3 linked regions of the Mytilus edulis genome follow. The protein of the gene in region 3 interacts with the protein of the main gene of each other region in a pairwise test. Links are inferred from orthologs where the notes say so. Each region holds a gene or a part of one and is shown on either strand. Other genes may lie near its edges. The genes, in order: paired box protein Pax-6-like, RING finger protein nhl-1-like and general vesicular transport factor p115-like.

Evidence for each region.
Region 1: the proteins of general vesicular transport factor p115-like (region 3) and paired box protein Pax-6-like interact in a two-hybrid assay, tested with the Caenorhabditis elegans proteins (2 studies listed by BioGRID). The link is inferred for Mytilus edulis from reciprocal best matches to the Caenorhabditis elegans genes uso-1 and vab-3.
Region 2: the proteins of general vesicular transport factor p115-like (region 3) and RING finger protein nhl-1-like interact in a two-hybrid assay, tested with the Caenorhabditis elegans proteins (2 studies listed by BioGRID). The link is inferred for Mytilus edulis from reciprocal best matches to the Caenorhabditis elegans genes uso-1 and nhl-1.

What each region holds. Positions count from the first base shown.
Region 1 is NC_092350.1:1,506,130-1,513,797, forward strand, and holds the start of paired box protein Pax-6-like, read right to left. Parts: upstream 3,029-7,668; 5' UTR 2,579-3,028; intron 1-2,578.
Region 2 is NC_092345.1:98,902,677-98,910,420, forward strand, and holds the start of RING finger protein nhl-1-like, read left to right. Parts: upstream 1-4,728; 5' UTR 4,729-4,834; intron 4,835-7,744.
Region 3 is NC_092352.1:26,332,684-26,340,556, reverse strand, and holds the start of general vesicular transport factor p115-like, read right to left. Parts: upstream 3,017-7,873; 5' UTR 2,816-3,016; coding exon 2,750-2,815; intron 12-2,749; coding exon 1-11.

The sequences.
Region 1 (7,668 bases), on a different chromosome or scaffold from region 3:
GAAAAATCTGATCTAATTTAGGAAGTTTTAGATTAGAAACTTTTCCATTATTTTGTGTCTTTCTAAAAATGGACATCTTGTAAAACAGCAGATGGCCTTTGTGACTCAGATAAAAAAATATTTTCTGAGATGATGGAAAAATATAGCACTGATGTTATATATGTACAAATGTTAAAAAATAAATTATATACATATATTTATTCTGTACAAAAAAGTAATAATTGTATACAAAAACTGAAATATGTCGAAAGCTTTCTACTTAAACCTTAATTATAACTAGTTCTACGCTAGCACTTAAAATGAATTATTCCTTAAATAAATGTTTTCATCTTCAAGATATCGCTTTACATTTTAAAATTTAAGTCAATCAATACAGAGTTAAATATTACTTAAGAAAAGTAGACAGATCTTAAAGAAAATATTCATTAATTCTTGTATTCCACGGAGAAGGACGTTATAGTGTTTTCTAAGACTAAAGGATTACTAACTCTAAAATCAATGCAGAGAATCTAAGGCGATATTACCTGGCGGTTAACTGTAGGAAAAGCTATTAATCCAGTTAAATTTAGTTAATAATTAACTAGACTTTTGTCAGTTAATCTGTTCAGATTTAGATGAAGTGGGAATGTATAAACGAATTGAGGAATGACATAAGAGAAGCTTTAAATTCAAGAGGTGTTATGTATATAATCAAACATTTAAAAGATTTATAAAATTATAATAATAAGCATTTGAAATGTAATTTTATTGTGTATTAAACGAATTTTTAGAACAAGTGTTCTTGATAATCTTTAACAGGTACTATCGAATTCAAATGTTATTTTACGTTCTACTTCAAATTTTAACTGAGGAGTTTCATATTGTTTTGTTAATGATTTTTAAGTGTTGAATGTTTGTGAAGAGTATTGAAGCTAAAGATAAATGCTATTGTTAGTTTAACTTAATTTAAAAAAAAATTAATGTAAAAAAAGCAAATTTAACCGAATTATAGAAATGAATGAAAATCATTTGATTTCATATTTTTTAAGAAAAAGATGTTTATATAAAATTATTTTACCATTTTTATTCGCTTCAACATATAAAAATAAAATAAATTTATAATCATTATTTTACAGGCGAGTTAAAAAATATACTTGAAACAGAAATCTTTTTTTGTAATCTGCAAATAATAAAGGAAAGAATATTGTTCCTCACAAAGTAAAAGATTTTTTATTTTTTCAACAATAAAGTCTTTTTTTTAGAAGCGTTCTATTTATATAATTTTTGTAGCAAAATCGAGATATTTCATTATAGAATATTTTTGTGATTTGTATACATATTTGTGTTTCCCTAACTATGATACATGATTTAAGAACTACAAACTGTGTGTGCTAAGCCGTCGGATACTAATACTGCTCCCAGTTAATATTTCTCTAAAATATGGATATGATTATCTTATGATTAATCCAGTTATTTCCGAATACATTACAGATAAAGATTTAATATTTTCCTTCAGGCCGATAATCCGTTTATCTTCAAAAAGCATCATGTGTTTTGAAAATGACAACTGTCAATTTCATGCCTGGTAAATTTCACACAATGTAATAAAATAAAAACAAGCAAAATTTTTATCCATTTTATACTATCAAAAATGTCTGAAGGGTTAAATATTATTAATACATTTTCAATACACGGATTTAAGATTGAGTACACTGGGCGCCGTGAAGGCCCGTTAAATTATTGTGACTTATAAAGTAAAACCTAACTAGCTATTACTCCAGCAATCATAACTCTACAATGAGAGGAAATAATAAATATAGAAATAGATACAGAAAATAAAGTTTACATTTTATATTTGTTATATATTGTGTTTACATAAGGATGTCCATTCCAGAACTTAAGTCGCTGTAGGAAGAACTAGGTACTCACGAATTACATACATAAACTGTCGTTAAATAGTAGGAGAACATGCAACAAAATGTTGAGAAATATCTTTGACCGACTGTTTAAAGATTAGTGTGACATAACTCTATGGTGAATTGGATATATAGATTAAAATATAATCTGTAAAATATATTATTTATTGCATACAATATCCAGTTTACGATGGTATAATTGTTGTTTATTTTTTTTATCTTAGAATCCTTCAAAACCTCAAATCAAAATGTGAAATGTTTTAGATACACGTGTTGGTATGTAACTTGCGTGAAAGTTTATTATTTTATTTTTCTCTCTATTTCCAAAATCAGCATCTTCAATCCGGACTGTTGGTCAGTCTGTTGGTTAAATTGTTAGTTTTTCCTTACATAGACCACAGTCAGAAGAAAAATATATGTCGTATCATCGTAAACAATACAACATCGGTCAGTATGGAATGTTTGTAAAAAAAAACATAAATAATTGTCAAAAATAATTTCCTAATGTCCCACAAATAACTAAAAATTATGCATCCTTTATATGCACGATATAACTTTGAAACGCAGAGAGGAGATGAAAACAAAAAGAATGAGTTATCTAAATGTTAAATGAAAAATGACCAAGTAGAAAGGGGGAGGATGCTATTTTCCAAAATTTTAAACAATTATTACAATTGACTTACCTGAAAATTTTGAAAAATTTTGTAGTTAATTGTCTAGTTTCCACAATGGTTGTCCCATTCACGCATCAATTACAAATTGTGTCCCTCCGCTGAAGATAACTTATTAGATTTTTCACGATTCAGTGATAACGTCTTGTTTGGTAAATTCCTCTGGACAGTTAACACACGTGCATTTAGTTTTCAAAACATAACTAGTAATTGTCAATGGCGACTGCTTACATATGCTTTTAAAATGTTATAAAATGTCTGGGTTAAAATTCCTACTTTTGTCGAGCGAAAAGAAACAGTATATGCGAAGTTACTGCTATATAATGTTATAAATCTGCAATCATTCTTTAACGAATATTTCAGGGCCGATTGCTTTTTCCACTACTTTGGTACGTTATAACGCCTGATTTAAAACTGCCACCTCTGTAGAGAAGTTCTTTTTAGCCATGAATTCACATATTTATTAAATCATGAAAAATAGGTGGAGCTTGAATAATTTCAACCAATCATTTTACGACTTCTACAACTATGTTAAGCTTGAGCAATCAGAAGTGTTTAAATCAAAATAAGATTTATGAAAAGATGAAATTATAAAATATAATATTGCTATCGGATTGAATTATTAAAATACATTATATCCAATTGGGCGGTCTAGTGAGAAAATACAAGATGCTGAGATTGGCTTGCTACGTGATAATGAGAGAATCGAATTTGTAGTAGCCCAATCATAAACATCCATTGCTTTTAAACTTCTTAAATGTATTTTAAACAAAAAACGAAGATTATTTTTGGAATTGATGAATTGATTTTTGGATTAAATAATTTTCTGATCGAATGTAATTAATTTCGTCATTAAATACCTGTAAGTCTTTGATGGTTGTCTTTATTAATTGACGTATTTTTCTTTTGTTTCATCGTTATTTATTATTAAATTGCATGTTTTCGTTGTAAGATTAATATTTTTTTCTTTTTATCAACTTCTATTTTAATTAAAATAATTTGAAACACGTAGACTAATTTATTAATGTGTACGAATTTTCCATCAATTTCATTTTAGTTTCCGATAAACATAAAATAAAAGAAAAGAATTATGAACACAAAATAATGTGTATTTTAAAATTGGAAATTTGGCAGTGACGTACATGTTTTAATATTTATAAACAATACATCAAATATCATCTAGTTTTAAAATTCATTTGAATTTGATAATTGTGCATATATTTATTTGAATATGTTCACACGTCCAAAACGTTTGTGAATTGTATGATATATTATTTTGTGTGATATTGCTGTAATTTGTGCATTTAAAAATATTTTTGTGAGACAAAGTAAATAGAAAACATCATAATATGAAGCTTGTAATTTATATAAAGAAAGAATAAGTGCAAACATATAGATATATTGTTTTAAAAATTTATTCTCTCGCAACATTTTCTTCAACTATTAATAACATTTTATATTTTCGTCGATTTATCGCGCTTAATAAGTCATCATAAGTTCTGAAATGTTTAACAATGATTTATTAATTAACATATCTGTATTGAAAAACTTATTTTTGTTCTTTTATCTAGTCATTATACCGTTTTCCCAAAAGAAATGAGACATAGAATGTGTAACCTCTCAAAGGAAATAAATATAAAAAAGAAATAAATAAACTAGAGGTAAAATAATTAAATCATTAAAAAGCACAATAGCATGAAATAAAATTCTAAATATAGAAAAGCGAAATGAAGTGTTCTACAATCAAACTTTTATATTTTTTGTATTGTCAAGTTTGTCAGAGGAAAGTAAGAATCGGAAACAAACATGGAATGAATTAATTTAGCCTTGATTTTTAAACGTTAAATATTATACATTATAGATAGAACAAGAATTGTTTTTTGGATACCTATGTGTCCTCAGCATAAGGTTTTAATCTAGAGAACTTTATACATATAAATATACTTCATTTTCTATTTTCTTTAACACCAAAAGCGTGCATATTCTTCTATTCAACCAGGAAAATTCTAAAGAAAACACGAATATTATCTGTTTGGAAATTTTACTGCAAACTTGCATTTACTTGGACGTTAGTTTTCTCGTTTGAATTGTTTTACATTTGTAATTTTGGGGAATTATATAGCTGACTATGTAGTATGGGCTTTGCTCATTGTGACCTATAGCTGCTGTTAATTTCTGTGTCATTTGGTCTCTTGTGAAGAGTTATTTCCTTGGCAATCATAACACATCTTCTATTTTATAATTACGAACACACCAACATTAAATTAAAAGAAGAAAAAGAAACAGTTCAACATTATTCATATTCAAGCATTCAGAAGACTTAAATTGGACGGCAGTTTTTATAATAAATTTGTTCAATTCCAAGATATTTGGAACAATTGCTACATACACTGATGCGATAAGATAAGCATTTATTACCAGTATCAAAATGTCTTTAAAGAAACCAATTCGAAGCTTGAGCCACCATTTTCTACATAAGAAAATGCCTGGACCATTTAAGTCAGGAATATGAAAGTTTTTTTTCCATTGGTTTAATGTGTTTGAGCTTTTTGATTCTGCCTTTTGAATAGGGACTTTCCGTTTTGAATATTCCTCGGAGTTCAATATTTTTGTGAATTTATTCTTTTTCAAATTGCAAACTTCTTACCGTTCTCTGAAAGCCAAATAATAAACCTATTCCAAAGTCACCAAAATCTTACCTTTCTATGAAAATGAAAAAAATAAACCTATTCCAAAGTCACTAATTCCTGGACGATTTTTATTTTAAAAATATTATTCCAATGAACAAAAAAGTTGTGAAGTACAATATTAAGAAGTGTGTGTTATATACATCCCTGCATCATCTATATATAAAGTCACACATCTGTAACACAATTACACATGTCACTGCTTTATCTCATATGCTCTGTTTCCATTCAGTTAATTTTCCTCTTATTTTATTCGTTTTTGAGAAGATTGTTTTGCTTATCAATTTTAATTCTTTCAGTTCTCAATTAACTCATTATGCGGAAGAGAAAGAACAGGTGCTTGTAAACTGATGTATATATTTTACATGTTTCGGGAGCTGTTAGAACAAACTATATACTTTGGGGTCATGAGTATGCCATCCAATTATATCAAATGTTTTAAAATATTGGCCGAAAGTTTCCTTTTTGGGAAAGAATAGAACAAATTCTGATTACATCCTTTTATACATGAAAAAATGTTTAAACGACAATGTTAAAGAAGAAACTGGAAGAAAATTTAGAACCAGCGGGGCATAATGAAATAGATTTGTTCATGCCCTATTGACCTTTATGGTTCCTACATTCACCATTATTCAACTCAGACGCAAAAAGGAGAAATTGACATTTCATGATTTAATCAATTTTTGTTCCAATGAAGGGTCTTTATCCCACTAATGCAAAATATGATATATTCAAAATAAACATCCCTGCATTTCAGTATTTTTGTGAATTTATTCTTTTTCAAATTGCAAACTTCTTACCGTTCTCTGAAAGCCAAATAATTAACCTATTCCAGATATAAAATAAGAGGAAAATTAACTGAATGGAAAAAGAGCATATGAGATAAAGCAGTGACATGTGTAATTGTGTTACAGATGTGTGACTTTATATATAGATGATGCAGGGATGTTTATTTTGAATATATCATATTTTGCAGATGATGCAGGGATGTTTATTTCTTTGGGTTTTATCCTTACAATAGTCTTATATATTTTTTTTTAATTCAACTTAAAGTAAAGTCAGATAAAATATAGTTTTATGCTGAATCTGTTAACAGTTTATATAAAAATACAATTACCAATGAAAAACCAAGAAGTCGGTAATTTCCAATGTTGAAGTACCGGATAAACTATACGCCACTAGTTTAATATTATGTCAAAGGGTTTTACATGATACTCCATACTATCATCATCCAGCAATAAATGTTACAATCACGGAATAATAACTGCTCAGGTTTAAAACCATTAAAGAATGCACTTGGAAATGATATTACATACTCAATAATTACTATTACATAGGGTTAAACATTTCGTGAAAAAATATATTTACCATTCCTTACATGTAAGACATCAAACATAACGCTTTATTTAAAGTAAGAAAATGCAAGATAATAAAAATCATAAGCCATATAGAGCTTTGAAACAGACAAAACAAAAGCACAATCCAACAAAGCATACACATACAAACACATGTACACACACAATTACACAGAGGAAGCAAGGGTTCATGGTATGCATGCATACATAAAACACAATAGTTCTATCAAGCAGATTAAACACATATGTATAAGCATGCAATAATGGGGTATAAATACCAAAGCAAGAGTAAAAAGTTTTGCACAGTAGAAAAGCACAAAAAATAGTTCAATAACTCAAATAAGCAAACAAAGCACTATAAGTGGACAGAATATTTGTCTTGCTGAAAACAAAGCACTATAAGTGGACAGAATATTTGTCTTGCTGAAAACAAAGCACTATAAGTGGACAGAATATTTGTCTTGCTGAAAACAAAGCACTATAAGTGGACAGAATATTTGTCTTGCTGAAAACAAAGCATTATAAGTGGACAGAATATTTGTCTTGCTGAAAACAAAGCACTATAAGTGGACAGAATATTTGTCTTGCTGAAAACAAAGCATTATAAGTGGACAGAATATTTGTCTTGCTGAAAACAAAGCACTATAAGTAGACAGAATATTTGTCTTGCTGAAAACAAAGCACTATAAGTGGACAGAATATTTGTCTTGCTGAAAACAAAGCACTATAAGTGGACAGAATATTTGTCTTGCTGAAAACAAAGCACTATAAGTGGACAGAATATTTGTCTTGCTGAAAACAAAGCATTATAAGTGGACAGAATATTTGTCTTGCTGAAAACAAAGCACTATAAGTGGACAGAATATTTGTCTTGCTGAAAACAAAGCATTATAAGTGGACAGAATATTTGTCTTGCTGAAAACAAAGCACTATAAGTGGACAGAATATTTGTCTTGCTGAAAACAAAGCACTATAAGTGGACAGAATATTTGTCTTGCTGAAAACAAAGCATTACACAAAGAACAATAAAAAGAATTAACAGATTAAGCAGGCAAAACAT
Region 2 (7,744 bases), on a different chromosome or scaffold from region 3:
CGACCTAGTTCTGACGATTTTTCATTTATAACCTTTTAAATTTTTTTATCAAATCATGTAGATAAACTAATTTCTTATAATTTTAATCTTTTGGACTAAATCAATGAGCTACAAACCGCTGAAATGTAAGAAAATAATTTTGAATAGACCAATCAATTTATACGATGTCCGGTACTGAACATAGTTTACCTGTCAACTGAACAGGTAGATATCACCTGTCCAACAACTAATTAGCCTTGATTAAAATTAGAAAGTATTGCAGTAGGGGTTGTTTTGATAGTAATTAATCATCATGTCACTTTTATGACCGGAAATGTGTAGATGTTAAAGGCAAAAGCTTGGGGCCCCAAAGGTTGGGTCAAAAAGATCGTGACTTATGTTAAAATGACCGAAAAAGCCTTGAAAACTAAAATGTATATGACCGTTTCATGCTTTGCCCAGCCGGACTTTTATCGGACATTAACCAAATGTCCGGAATATATGACCGTTTTGGAAGCTCTGCCCCAATTATTCAATTTTTGATGAAATCAAACAAAGTTCAATTTTGGACCCTTTGGGCCCCTTATTCCTAAACTGTTGGGACCAAAACTCCCAAAATCAAACCCAACCTTCCTTTTATGGTTATAAACCTTGTGTTTAAATTTCATAGATTTCTATTTACTTATACTAAAGTTATGGTGCGAAAACCAAAAATAATGCTTATTTCGACCCCTTTTTGGCCCCTAATTCCTTAACTGTTGTGACCTCAACTCCCAAAATCAATCCCAACCTTCCTTTTGTGGTCATAAACCTTGTTTTTAAATGTCATTGATTTCTATTTACTTATACTAAAGTTATTGTGCCAAAACCAAGAATAATGCTTATTTGGGCCCTTTTTTGGCCCTTAATTCCTAAACTGTTAAAACCAAAACTCCCAAAATCAATCCCAACCTTCCTTTTGTGGTCATAAACCTTTTGTCATAATTTCATAGATTTCTATTCACTTGAACTAAAGTTATAGTGCGAAAACCAAGAAAATGCTTATTTGGGCCCTTTTTGGCCCCTAATTCCTAAAATGTTGGGACCAAAACTCCCAAAATCAATCCCAACCTTCCTTTTGTGGTCATAAACCTTGTGTTAAAATTTCATCGATTTCTATTCACTTTCACTAAAGTTGGAGTGCGAAAACTGAAAGTATTTGGACGACGACGACGCCAACGTGATACTAATATACAACGAAAATTTTTCATTTTTGCGGTCGTATAAAAAATAAGTCCAGATCTTAAATTTTTAACCAGTTATGCCCCTAGGAAATATAATTATAATGGAAATCCCATTGCAATAGCTCTGAAGCTTTTAATTCTCATGAGATATAAATAACACCGTGTATCATCGTACAGCGGATATAGGTACTAACCAAGCGGGCGTGAGTGATTTTGATCTTACACGGTAACGAAAATCTTTGTTTTGTTCACATAATATCAATGTGTACTTCAATCTAAACATAATTGCTATTTTAAGAAATGATTTGGTCGTAGGTTGATGGTTAGAGATCTGTCTCATTATTTTCCCAAAACAAGAGGGATTACTAAAACATTGTAAATGCATGTGCAAATACTTGTCAAAGAAGTTGGCCCTCATCTCATCCGATATAATTCTATATTCATTGCAACTCTTTTTCTGATAGAAGGTCAATGTGTGTGTGTAATAAGTATAGCTGTTTCAATAATTGGCATTGAAATCTTTCATATATATGTTATTTTTCGATATTTTATCCCTAAAAAAGTGTTGTGTACGGTGTTTAGCTGACCACATAAATCCTAATGTACGGTGCATAGTTATGTTGTTGTACACCGTACACAAAAACATTATTTTTATACTCGTTTATTACCCAAAATGTTTCAAGGAATGAGTAATCACAGGTAGGTTTATGATTGGTGACTGTTACTTTTGCCCTGTATTAGGTTTCTTTCAGATAAAACATGTAAATGTCTCAACAACTGTATCGAAATTGAAAGTTGGTGTTGACATTCACAACTATTTCCGCTTGTACAAGTTAATTGTTCTTATTAGAATATCAAATTTGTTTTATGAATAGGAAAAAATCGATGCAAAAATTATTTGGGAGCAGGAATTTCAAATGTTGAGAAATGTACATTGAATATTGATCAAGCAAAACAAAGATTTTCGTTACCGTGTAAGGTCAAAATTGATCATGCCCGCTTGCTTAGTACCTATATCCGGTGTACTGATGATACACGGTGAATAAAAAGGTTTCAGATCAAACATGTCTGCGTATCATCATCCTCTACGCTTGCCGTAGACGCGCTATGACATAAAACTTTTAACGAAAAAATGTCAAAAACACTTTTCTGCGATTTATCCATCTTGTTTACATATAAACCTATATGATCCTAAATGAAAGTCAAAGACCACCCATACTTCTTCGGAAATGATAAGATGCTATTCTTATATCATCACCCGTGTTACATTTGGATAACTCTGTGTGTTTCTGCTACGAACACATGCAGTTATATATACTTTTTGGGGGGATCAAAATGAGTTGAATGCTTAACCCTTTCGCCGATGAGTCCCGGTTTACCGGGATTCACGCTTCAGACAGCTGACGATGAGTCCCGTTTTACCGGGATCGGAATACCTCTTTTATATTTCCCGCTCAAAACAGTGCAAACATGAGTTATCTTTCTTTGATGAATACCCGGATGAAAGTGTAAACATGGCGATTCCGTTTGTTGAAAACCGTGTCAAAATCAGAGGAAATTTACGGAATTTACGAGAATTTGAAATGAGGGAACATTTTTTTTTGAAAGAATATGGAAGAATTGAAGCCAAACTAGTATACTTTTTTGACATAAAATGTCGTTTTATGTACAAAACACTTGGAATGGACATCGTTCAGTGTGAGGAATTTGTACAGCGTCGTTAAATTTTTCAAAATTTTGCCGTTTTGGGCTAAAAAATTACGATTTGGGGTCAAAGAGCAGAATTTTAAGAATTTCACCTCAATAATGCCGAAAATTTGAAAATTTGAATATTTTATGAAGAAAAAATTATCAAAACATGAACAAAACTGTGAACATAGTGTTAGTGAAAGAAATAAATACATAAATAACTACAAACAAGTTTTTATTGACATTTATTATGAAGATCTCCCACTTAAGTTATAGTAGCCAGGGAAGCCATCGTCTCAGAGTAGCTTCAGTCTGGGCAGCAATCGGTGAAAGGGTTAAGCATCTTAGCATAAATGCAAGCTACACCACCGCTCTTCTGTTTGAATAGAGTTCTACAGGTACAGCAAAACTTGTTATGACATATAAACGTGTATGTTGCCTGCTTGGCGCAAAGGAATATCACCAATGTTTCTTATAGTGTTAAGATTTTGATGTAAATTTAAAACTGAAAATTATAAATCAAGGAAAGGAAAATAATACACTGTTATAGCTGTTTAAATTTATTTATATGCAGTTCCTTTTGGTAAATTACGGCAGTAAATATATCCATAACTGTAGAATTCTTAATTATTTAATGAAAAAATATAAGGCCTCTGCAATAAGTTTTTCTCAACTTGCCCAATTGGACAAGTAGATTTCAAAACTTACTTGCCGAAAGTAAAAATGTCAAATTGATATTTGTTTTTATCTTCTTTCCATGATTTTTGTTTATTAAATGTACTTTGATAATCAAATTTGAAGTAGATTTATTTTCTACAGAATGATTTACTTGTCCTGCTGGACAAGATTGATATGGCTTTTACCTTTTTCCATCTGGTACAGACAATCAGACAAGCGCTATGCCGAGCCCTGAATATCATCAAGATAACAGTATAAGAGTTGTTGAATATCAATTAAATGGTTTTTAGTCAGGTGTTTACTGAGTTTGGCCATAAAATGTGATTCATAACAATACAGGAATAAGTCTGCTATTTCAAGGAGCACAAATGGTGCCCACACTACACAGGAATACCTACATGTACAACTTTTTCTCAAAACAAACTTCTGTCAAACCAGTTATTGCATATGAACGAAACGAAAAAGGAGGGCTGAACAAACTGTGGCCAAGACCACCTGTGGATGAACTGGATGTATGGCCAAAACGACTCAAAATGCATTCCAGGGCCATTTCAGACGCCACCCTTTGGCGACTTCGGTCAGGAATTTTATTTTTTTGTATTAAATTTATCAACTCACTACACTCGTCAGTATATATTCTGTTTTCTGCAGTACACCCTCATTAATTAATCTGGTTGTCAACCTGCAAATGCAAATGCCTGATAATTTACAAGCCATATTTCCAGATAATGTTATGTCAGTTGTTAGGGCTGTAGACAACGTGAACGTTTTGGTTTCTATATAAAGGTAAGGCTTTGTATGTTCTATAGCTCTTGCATATTTGTAAATTTTACTATTTTACGCTGATTTGCACATATATTACATGCACAAAATAATGTGTGCCAGCTTACCAAAGAAAGTTTGTACCCTCGCACCTCACGTCTTTGTAAATCAGTGTATTTATGACGCTTTAAACAACAGAAATTTATAATATATCATTAAGCGTTCAATTGATTCAGAAAAAAAATAATAATTTTGCAACACTAAAAATTAACATTTTCAAGAAAAATTTAACTTTTTTATTATTTCTTAAACATGCAAAAAAAAAATAAAAGCATTTTTATTTATTTATTTTATCAAAGAATTTCTTCCAAAAGTCGTAAAATTTATTTACGGTACCGATTGCAACCAATGTAAACAAACAGGATCCATATGGCATGCTATGTGAGGACATTTAACAGTTCACTGAGGAAGATGACAGTTCATTTACAAATAGTAAAATACTGGTAAATGTGTTTTCATAAGTGTTTGTGGAAAATGGATGTATACGTTTCCATATTTCAAAAAGTAAATCTACTAAATAGTATATAAAAATGAAAGATGAAGGGATACTATCACAGCAACTCAATAACACAATCAACCAGATGGCATATTTTAATTAGTCTACTGTCCCACACACTTTCCAACTATGCAAACTGCATACCTTTAATGTTATGAGGTTGATTGCTTCTATACCTAATGAGCTCCTGTAGTAATGCTCTTTATATACTGTCAGGCATCAAAGGTTCATTTTCAGCATCAAATTGGTTAAAATTTAAAATTTTACCTTGCTGTAAGAAAAATATTCTTAACATGATTTGTCATACGTCTCATATGTGTATCCTGACTGTCGTTTTTGAGAGAAAAAAATAACACTACATGTATTTCGTCAAAATTGGTTAATTTATTTATCATCTAAAAAGAAAGTCAACATTTTATCATCAAATTACTTATTACTAGCCTAAATTGCATGACAGTTCATCTCTATAAAATTTAACCACATCTACTTATTTTGGCCTAGATATCTTGACATTTAATCTCTACAAAAATAATCATATCTACTTATTTTGGCCTAGATATCTTGACATTTAATCTCTACAAAAATAATCATATCTACTTATTTTGGCCTAGATATCTTGACATTTACTGTAGTCTCAACAAAAATGAACCACATCAATCTACCTTTTATGACCTAGATACCTTGACATTAAATCTCCATAAAATGAACCACATTTACTTATTATGACCTAGATATTATAACATTTAATCTCCACAAAAAATAACCACATCAACTTATATTTTTGCCCTAGATATCATGACATTTAATTTCTACAAGAATTAATCACATCTACTTAATTTGGCCTAGATATCTTGACATTCAATCTCCACAAAAATGAATCACATCTACTTAATTTGGCCTAGATATCTTGACATTTTATCTCCACAAAAACGAATCACATCTACTTATTTTAACTTAGGTATCTTGACATTTTATTTCAACAAAAATGAACACCATCTACTTATTTTGGCCTAGATATCTTGACATTTAATCTCAACAAAAATAAACATCATCAACTTATTTTGGCCTAGATATCATGACCTTTAGCTCCACAAAAATGAACACCATCAATTTATTTTGGCCTAGATATCATGACTTTTGATCTCTGCAAAATGAATAACATCTACTTATTTTGGCCTAGATATCTTGACATTTTTTTATCTCTACAAAAATGAGCACCATCTACTTATTTTGGCCTAGGTATCTTGACATTTTATTTCAACAAAAATAGACCACATCTTCTTATTTTGGCCTAGATATCTTGACATTTAATCTCTACAAAAATAAACATCATCTACTTATTTTGGCCTAGATATCATGACCTTTAGCTCCACAACAATGAACCACATCTACTTATTTTGGCCTAGATATCTTGACATTTAATCTCAACAAAAATAATCATATCTACTTATTTTGGCCTAGATATCTTGACATTTTATTTCAACAAAAATAAACATCATCAACTTATTTTGGCCTAGATATCATGACATTTTTTTTATCTCTACAAAAATGAACACCATCAATTTATTTTGGCCTAGATATCATGACTTTTGATCTCTGCAAAATGAATAACATCTACTTATTTTGGCCTAGATATCTTGACATTTTTTTATCTCTACAAAAATGAGCACCATCTACTTATTTTGGCCTAGATACCTTGACATTTAATCTCAACAAAAATAAACATCATCAACTTATTTTGGCCTAGACATCATGACATTTAGCTCCACAAAAATGAACACCATCAACTTATTTTGGCCTAGATATCATGACATTTAATCTCCACAAAAACGAATCACATCTACTTATTTTAACCTAGATATCTTGACATTTTATTTCAACAAAAATAGACCACATCTTCTTATTTTGGCCTAGATATCTTGACATTTAATCTCTACAAAAATGAACACCATCTACTTATTTTGGCCTAGATATCATGACATTTAATCTCTACAAAACTTTATCACATCTACTTATTTTGGCCTAGATATCTTGACATTTTTTTTATCTCTACAAAAATGAACACCATCAACTTATTTTGGCCTAGATATCATGACTTTTGATCTCTGCAAAATGAATAACATCTACTTATTTTGGCCTAGATATCTTGACATTTTTTTTATCTCTACAAAAATGAACACCATCAATTTATTTTGGCCTAGATATCATGACTTTTGATCTCTGCAAAATGAACACCATCTACTTATTTTGGCCTAGATATCATGACATTTAATTTCTACAAGAATTAATCACATCTACTTAATTTGGCCTAGATATCTTGACATTTAGTCTCAACAAAAATGAAGCACATCTAATTATTTTGGCCTAGATATCTTGACATTTTATTTCAACAAAAATAGACCACATTTCCTTATTTTGGCCTAGATATCTTGACATTTAATCTCTACAAAAATGAACACCATCAATTTATTTTGGCCTAGATATCATGACTTTTGATCTCTGCAAAATGAATAACATCTACTTATTTTGGCCTAGATATCTTGACATTTTTTTATCTCTACAAAAATGAGCACCATCTACTTATTTTGGCATAGATACCTTGACATTTAATCTCAACAAAAATAAACATCATCAACTTATTTTGGCCTAGATACCTTGACATTTAATCTCAACAAAAATAAACATCATCAACTTATTTTGGCCTAGACATCATGACATTTAGCTCCACAAAAATGAACACCATCAACTTATTTTGGCCTAGATATCATGACATTTAATCTCCACAACAATGAACCACATCTACTTATTTTGGCCTAGATATCATGAAATTTAATCTCCACAAAAACGAATCACATCT
Region 3 (7,873 bases):
AATCTTTCAACCTAAAAACAATATATTTTTGATTCATTAGTAAGTGTATTTAGAAATATAGTTTTGTGTTTAAAGTGGGTACTAATGGCTTTGTACATTTGTAGTTTAAATCTATATATACAGGGGCGCATTGCATTTGCGCCAATTTTTTAAAAATCCAATCTTTCATTTGCGCCAAACATTAAATACTTCATTTGCGCCATTTTACAGGTAGTAAAGGAAACGAACATTCGTCGCTCTATCGTGAATTGATTAAGATTTGTTTTTACAGTATTACTGAGAGTCACTTAGGTTTGAATTTATATAGTGTTCACATTTTAGATGTGTCAAGATGGACATTGTCAATTCAGAGACAAACCAAGGAAATAAGTCTTATCATATACATGTATGATCTGAAAAATTAAGACAAGTCATTAAGGTGTCCCAAAAAACTTGCAAAGGTTGAATAACTTGTAAAGACAGAATACCAACTGACAACTAAACAATTATCAAAACTTTGAACGAACGCAACCATGGGGTACACCAGCAGAAAGTATAATATCAAAAACGCATTGAAAGGTTTATTTATGGTTTTATGATGACTGATTTCTGAGGAATATGTTTTGACTAACAAGAACTTTATCAACAGGGTTTTTGAAAGATTTTTTTTTTATCAATATCTGTATTAACCTGTATCATGCGTATTTACCTGAAATATTGGCGCAAATGAAAGTTCAATTTTTGGCGCAAATGAAAGATTATTTTGGCGCAAAAGCAAAGCACCGATATACAGCCTTCACAGACTAAGGATGCATTAGTACTTAAAATATTGTATAAGACACCTGTCTATTGATGAACTAGAGGCTCTAAAGAGCCTGTGTCGTTCACCTTGGTCTATGTGCATATTAAACAAAGGACACAGATGGATTCATGAAAAAATTGTGTTTTGGTGATGGTGATGTGTTTGTAGATCTTACTTTACTAAACATTCTTGCTGCTTACAATTATCTCTATCTATAATGAACTTGGCCCAGTAGTTTCAGTGGAAAATGTTAGTGAAAATATACAAATTATATGAAAATTGTTAAAAATTGACTATGAAGGGCAATAACTCCTTAGGAGGTCAATTGACCATTTTGGTCATGTTGACTTATTTTTAGGTCTTACTTTGCTGTACATTATTGCTGTTTACAGTTTATCTCTATCTATAATAATATTCAAGATAATAACCAAAAACAGCAAAATTTCCTTAGGGCAGACAGATCTATCCTCATAATTAATTTTACCCCATATCAGATTTGCTCTAAATGCTTTGGTTTTTGAGTTATAAGCCAAAAACTGCATTTTACCGACGACAAGTTTGCCTTTGATGATTTTTCCCTGCTTAGCTCAATTTTTTTTAATAGTGTTCAATGTTTCATCTCATTAATTCAACAAAGAAACTGATTGCGCAAAGATCTAAGTATTTGGGCAAGGCCTTCAAAAATTGCTCATAACAGACAAATGGGATTTTCATTGTCCATGAAATTACACTTACATTCCGACTTTCAATAGACGACCAATCAGTGACCTGAATTTACATGAACTATATTTAGTCACAGGTAAACACTGATTTGACATCCTTGTTTATCGCGACCGCGACTTTGATGCAATACATTTTAAAAAGATTTTTCTTTTTGAATTTAAATTTTTGTCTGTGAAGTAGCCAGTACTTGGAGTCACGGTAAATTGCTGATTTTTGGTCAGTCAAGAACTTGCTTTCAATTCGCCACCTGGGCTACCACAACTGAGTAAAAAGATCGCCCAGGTCAATTTCTGGTCGCCATTGGCGACTGGACGACCGTTAATTTTTTTCCCTGGGCAGACAATTTAAAATTCTATTAGAGCAAAGAAATCCTAAGAACTTAAGAAAAGAAGAAAGGATAACTTTTGTACCTATATATAGGTAATTAATCGGAATGTCTAAGGGACATAACTAAGCCATATTTTTTTTTACCTATACAAGTAAATAAAATTCACTTGTATAAGTATATTAATATTACTTCTATAAGTAAATAAAAATAACTTGTACAAGTAGTACCCCTGACTGAAAAATATGACGTCATAACAGAAAATAACGTCAAAATGGAAAAGTTATGATTGTTGTAATGACTGTCAGTGTCAGGAATATGTAAATTAAGGAAGAAAACGTTACATGCTATAATAATACACCTTATCGCTATTTGTCTGCCATTACTGAATATCACACGGGTTCCCGTAAAATTTTGACGTCACAAAACAAAATATCTGACGCTACAATGGAAAAGTGATTCAAGCGGCCGGGTCAGCCAGGATTAGCGATAAGGTGTATGTTATCGATCTGTTTTAAGCCCATGTATAAACATGACCCGTCACAAAGTTACACTACAATATAAGAAACAAGTGACATTCCAGCGTTGTGTTCACGCCATATTTAGCATCACAGATTTCCAAAATGAAATAGCGATAAGGGTAAGGTAAGGTGTATGGTACACTCCCCCCCTTTTTCCTCCCTGTGTCAGGGTTGAACCCGAAACCTTCAGTGCAAACTCTAACAGTCCTAACCACTAAGCCATACACTCACGTATATAATTGATACTTAAATATGATATAACAACATATTTTTTTCACAAAATTATTTAGGGGGTTGAGCCGGTAACAGCCGTTTGCAAACAGTTGAAGTACAGGGTGATAGCGTTATTAGACTTTTTCTAAATTTGCTTAAGATATATGTTATTCATTTTCTACTAACAGTATCTGCTCCTGTGGGTTGTACGCCACCCTGTGAAGGACCTAAATATTTTCGAAAATAATCCATTTTGTGATTCGTGGCTTCCGGAGTGTGCGCATGCGTATTAAAACGTGGCAATCTCGCAGTAAATAAATATAATAGTATGTTTTGTTTATAAAGGATTTAATAAACCACTGAACGAATGTTTGTATCGAAAGATACTCTAAAGTGTCTTTGAAATATCTGAAAAAGAATTAATTCGAACTGAATTATCTACTTTCACTTTCTACTATAGAGTGCTGATTTTACTGTTGACAAATTTAGAAATCAACACTATACAGAATAATGATGCATGAAAGATTTACATCCTGTTTTTGAAAGCCGGCTATAATATTTGTGTGACGGTATTATTGAGGTAATATATATATAATCAGTCTTACAGAGAAAGTATATCTGTCTATTAATGGCATTATAAATTTAGAGGCTGCATAGCCATAAAACTACTGAATTTCCAATTTTACTAATTGTGCTAGGGAGGTCAGCTAAATTATGAAGTATAGGGAAATTCATTGGTGCCAAAAATTTTGGAAATAGTCAACTGGTTTTAAAGTTCGGACCATTTTGATTTCCAAAATTGTCGTTTTTGTGAAACCTGTGACTTTTGTCGCAGAAAGCTAGACATGGATAGTGATCCGTCAGCGGCTACTACGGCATTAGCTTACTTCTCAAAAGCTTTATATTTTAGAAGGTGAAAGACCTAGATGCTTCATACTTTGTATATAGATGCCTCAGAATACGAAGTTTCTGTCTGTCACATGTCTATTGTCCTTGACCTCATTTTCATGATTCAGTGACTACTTGAAAAAATGTTTTTGTAATGTTAAGTTTTCTCTTATTATGAGTAATAGGATAACTATATTTGGTATGTATGTACCTTGCAAGGTTGTCAGTCCATACAGACAGTTTTCACTTGACCTCAAACCTCATTTCATGGATCAAGGTTAAGTTTTGGTGGTCAAGTCCATATCATATAGGTGTAGTATATTCAGTGTATCTGACCTTGACCTCATTTTCATGGTTCAGTGGTTATAGTTAAGTTTTTGTGTCTTGGTCTGTTTTTCTTGTACTGTGTCCTGTATGCAATAGATCTAATACATTTGGTGTATGGAATGATTATACATGTTAAGTGAACATGTCTAGCTGGCAGGTGTCATCTGACCTTCATGACCTTGAACTCATTTCCATGGTTCAGTTGTCAAAGTTCAGTTTTTGAGTTTTTTTATACTGTATGCTATACATAGGTCAACTATATTTGGTGTATTTCTTGTGGATCTGATATCAAGAAAATTCCTTTCATTCAGTAACAGTTGATAATAACTTTATTTTTCAGTATTTTTTAATGTTTTGAAAACTTATTACTTGATCACATTGTAAACTATGTTACTTTTCAGCACTAAACTTCCAAAGCTAGTGTTTAAATATTCTTCTTGTATTAAAATCTAGCAATTATACTCTCATTGTTCATCCCCATCTTTAGTTATCATTATTAATATAATAGTATATATCACTAGTAAGTTATTTCACTCTTAACCACAGTTATTCAGCATATCTCCATATATATATATATATAGCAAATAATAACCTATACAATTGGTAGTATGGAGAGTTGTCTTCAGCAGGACTGGTAGCAGCTTTAACATTCATACAGGCATCAGCAGCAGCAACATTACTCATTATTTACAGCTTAAAATATATAATGTATGTCTGATAGCATTTTCTTTCATTAGAAATACACAACAGGTGAGACATTTGTGTGTGTCCACTTTTATTTGCAAAGGCTCAAATATCATATTTTTGGCAATTTTTTAGACCAAATAATACTATTGGGTTAGGAACAGCAAGATATCTATCTGCTTTATTGCAAGAACACTCTGTTATGCTTTGATTTAAGCCACTCCAGTCCTAAGTAACATCAATATCTACAACATCTCAAACTTAAAAAAAAAAAATTCAAAGAAGCGATTGAAAATTTGGAAGGAATTAGTTTTTCATACAATTACTATTGGCAATATTTTTCTTTCAAAAACTGTGAAAAAAAATTAATAAGATTTTCAAATATGACTCTTAAAACTATTTGTTATTAAATTATGAATAGAAATGTTGGTCATATTTGGCAAAAATGTTGATAGACACTAGATGGATAAAACCAGAGAATCCAGAATATATAGAAGTAGATACATTTGAACCTAGTCATTTGAACTGTGACGCCTTGCTCAGTTAATTTACAATAGCAGGTTATTGTTTTATTGATCAGGTTAAAGGCAACTTTCCCATCATTGGCTTTAAGTTTCATGGTTTTGTGTTGCACAGACAACATGTAGATAATAGCCAATTAAACAATTATAGGTCAAAGTATGGCCTTCAAGACGGAGCCTTGGCACACACAGAACAGCAAGCTATAAAGGCCCCAAAAATGACTGGTACAAAACCATTCAAACCGTAAAACCATTCTATATAGAAACAAGAAACACTGACTAATGAACCACATCAACAAACGAAAACCACCGAACATCAGATTATGTTGTTCTATAATGATTTGTGGATATTGCAACATAAGGTGTTTATTTTCACTTACTTGTTCATTTTTTGAAACTGACAACAGTCAACAAATTTGAAATAAAATACTTGCTTTCAGAAATAAGCTGATTAATTTATCATGTTTATCATGTTTATGCTTATAAATTGTCTCGATTGATGGAAATTGCAAAAATAAAGTAAACATTTGAACTGTTGCACAGTGTAATCATGGTAATCAGAAGTGATTACACTAATTACCCTGAAATCAAGTGATCAACAGACTAAAGACCATCAATGGGGTTAATTTGGCCTTAGGAATGACACTCTAAGAAAACTGTGCATAAACAAATGCTATAGACATGTATAGAAGTACATGTACCTTGAATTGTAAAATTAATTCTGATCAAAAGCAAGCCCATGCAATATAATATTAAAATTTTCTGTATGAGAATTATGAGGATATAAATGATCATATTCATCATAGCATATATTCACTGGAAATCTGACTGTTATTGTTCAAAATATTTAAAAAAAAATTAAATTAAAAGATTAAAATTCGTTCAGTTTAGGTTTTTAAAGGGGAAGTCTAGCTACAAGATTTATTAAAAATCTAATATATTATTTTAAGCAGCCAGTATGGTTCAATTTTGTCAAAATAAGCTAAAAAACATTGATTATGGGTTATTCACTTGCAAGTGAATAATTCGACCTCATTGAATACGTATTCATGTGAACTTCAATATAACCCCTTTGCTTGAGATGGATAACACGTGAATTGTATGTGTAAAGTTCTTTAAAGAAGAAGAATGTCAACATATAAAGTGAAACAAAGGTAAATCATTTGATTGGATGATTCGATCCACAAAAAATCATTCTTATACAGGTAAAAACGATGATTGAAACATTTATTTTTCATTTTTATTATGAAATTAAATAGACCTAGAAAAATCCAAGTTTACTCAATCTATTTATATCTATATTTATGTTTAAATTGCTTATATGGTCATCGGATGACTTCAGAGGTCAACTCAATAGTTAATTAGGTGGTGTCTAGACCAAAATACACACAAAGCGAAGCTACATATTTTCATGCCTGTGCCCTGCTTATTGTTTATTTTACACTTTTAATAGTTTGGATAAATCTTTTACATTGTTATAAATCAAATATGATAATTTGATTAAGATCTGTGAACATGAATTTGACAGCTAGTGCCCCTTTAAAGCTTAAATGGGTACAATCCTGCATGCAGTTGTCGATCATAGTGCATTTGCTGATATTTGAAGTCTTCTTTAGATTATATGGCATGACTATATCTATGTTGTAAAACCTACATGTATGGGTATCTTTTCATGTCTTGATTTGGACAACAGTTGTGTTGCTATATTTCCTTGGACACTTGTTGATCCACGAAAACAATGAAAAAAAAGATTTATGCAAAAATAAAACAAATTGTTGGTGCTTGTTTAAAAGTTTATTTTCCATTGAGAGTTTGTTTAAGCCCAGGTACCATCCATATATTTAGTGTTTACAACTACCTTTATCTATTGTTAGACATCTGATCACTGTTTTATTGATGTACTGAATTTGATCAAAATTTAAACATTATGGTAATTAGTGTTATCTTCTTTAGGTCTTTAATAGACAGTAGGCCTTAGGGTTAATAACCTGCTTCAAAGAATTTTGTATACATGTTTGTATTTTATGGGTTAAATATATATGCAAAAAGAAGAAAGATTTCATCTTATCTCTTTTCTACCATAATCATTGTCAAGTACAGTGGAATTAGGAAGAAAAGACAGATATTTATTTTTTAAAAGGTAAATAAAGTACATGACATACTTGTGGAAAATCGTCGTCCGAAGACATTTGGTTTTCACCCTATAACTTTAGTAAAAGTAAATAGAAATCCATGAAATTTAAACACAAGGTTTATGACCATAAAAGGAAGGTTGGGATTTATTTTGGGAGTTTTGGTCCCAACAGTTTAGGAATAAGGGGCCAAAAAGGGCCCAAATAAGCATTTTTTTTGGTTTTCGCACCTTGGTGAATAACTTTAGTATTAGTAAACAGAAATCTATGAAATTTTAATAAAAGGTTTATGAATACAAAAGGAAGGTTGGGATTGATTTTGGGAGTTTTGGTCCCGACAGTTTAGGAATTAGGGCCAAAAAAGGGACCCAAATAAGCATTTTCTTGGTTTTTGCACTCTAACTTTAGTATAAGTAAATAGAAATCTATGAAATTTTAACACAAGGTTTATGACCACAAAAGGAAGGTTGGGATTGATTTTGATAGTTTTGGTCCCAACAGTTTAGGAATAAGGGTCCAAAATTAAACTTAGTTTGATTTTAACAAAAATTGAATGGTGAATCTTAACACTTAGATTTTTGATTATGGGCCCAGTTTTCAAGTTGGTCCAAACCGGGGTTCAAAATTAAACTTTGTTTAATTTCAACAAAAATTGAATATATGGGGTTCTGCAATATGGTGAATCTAACCATGTATTTAGATTTTTAATATTTGGGCTCTGTTATCAAATTGGTCCACATTGAGGTCTAAAGGGTCTA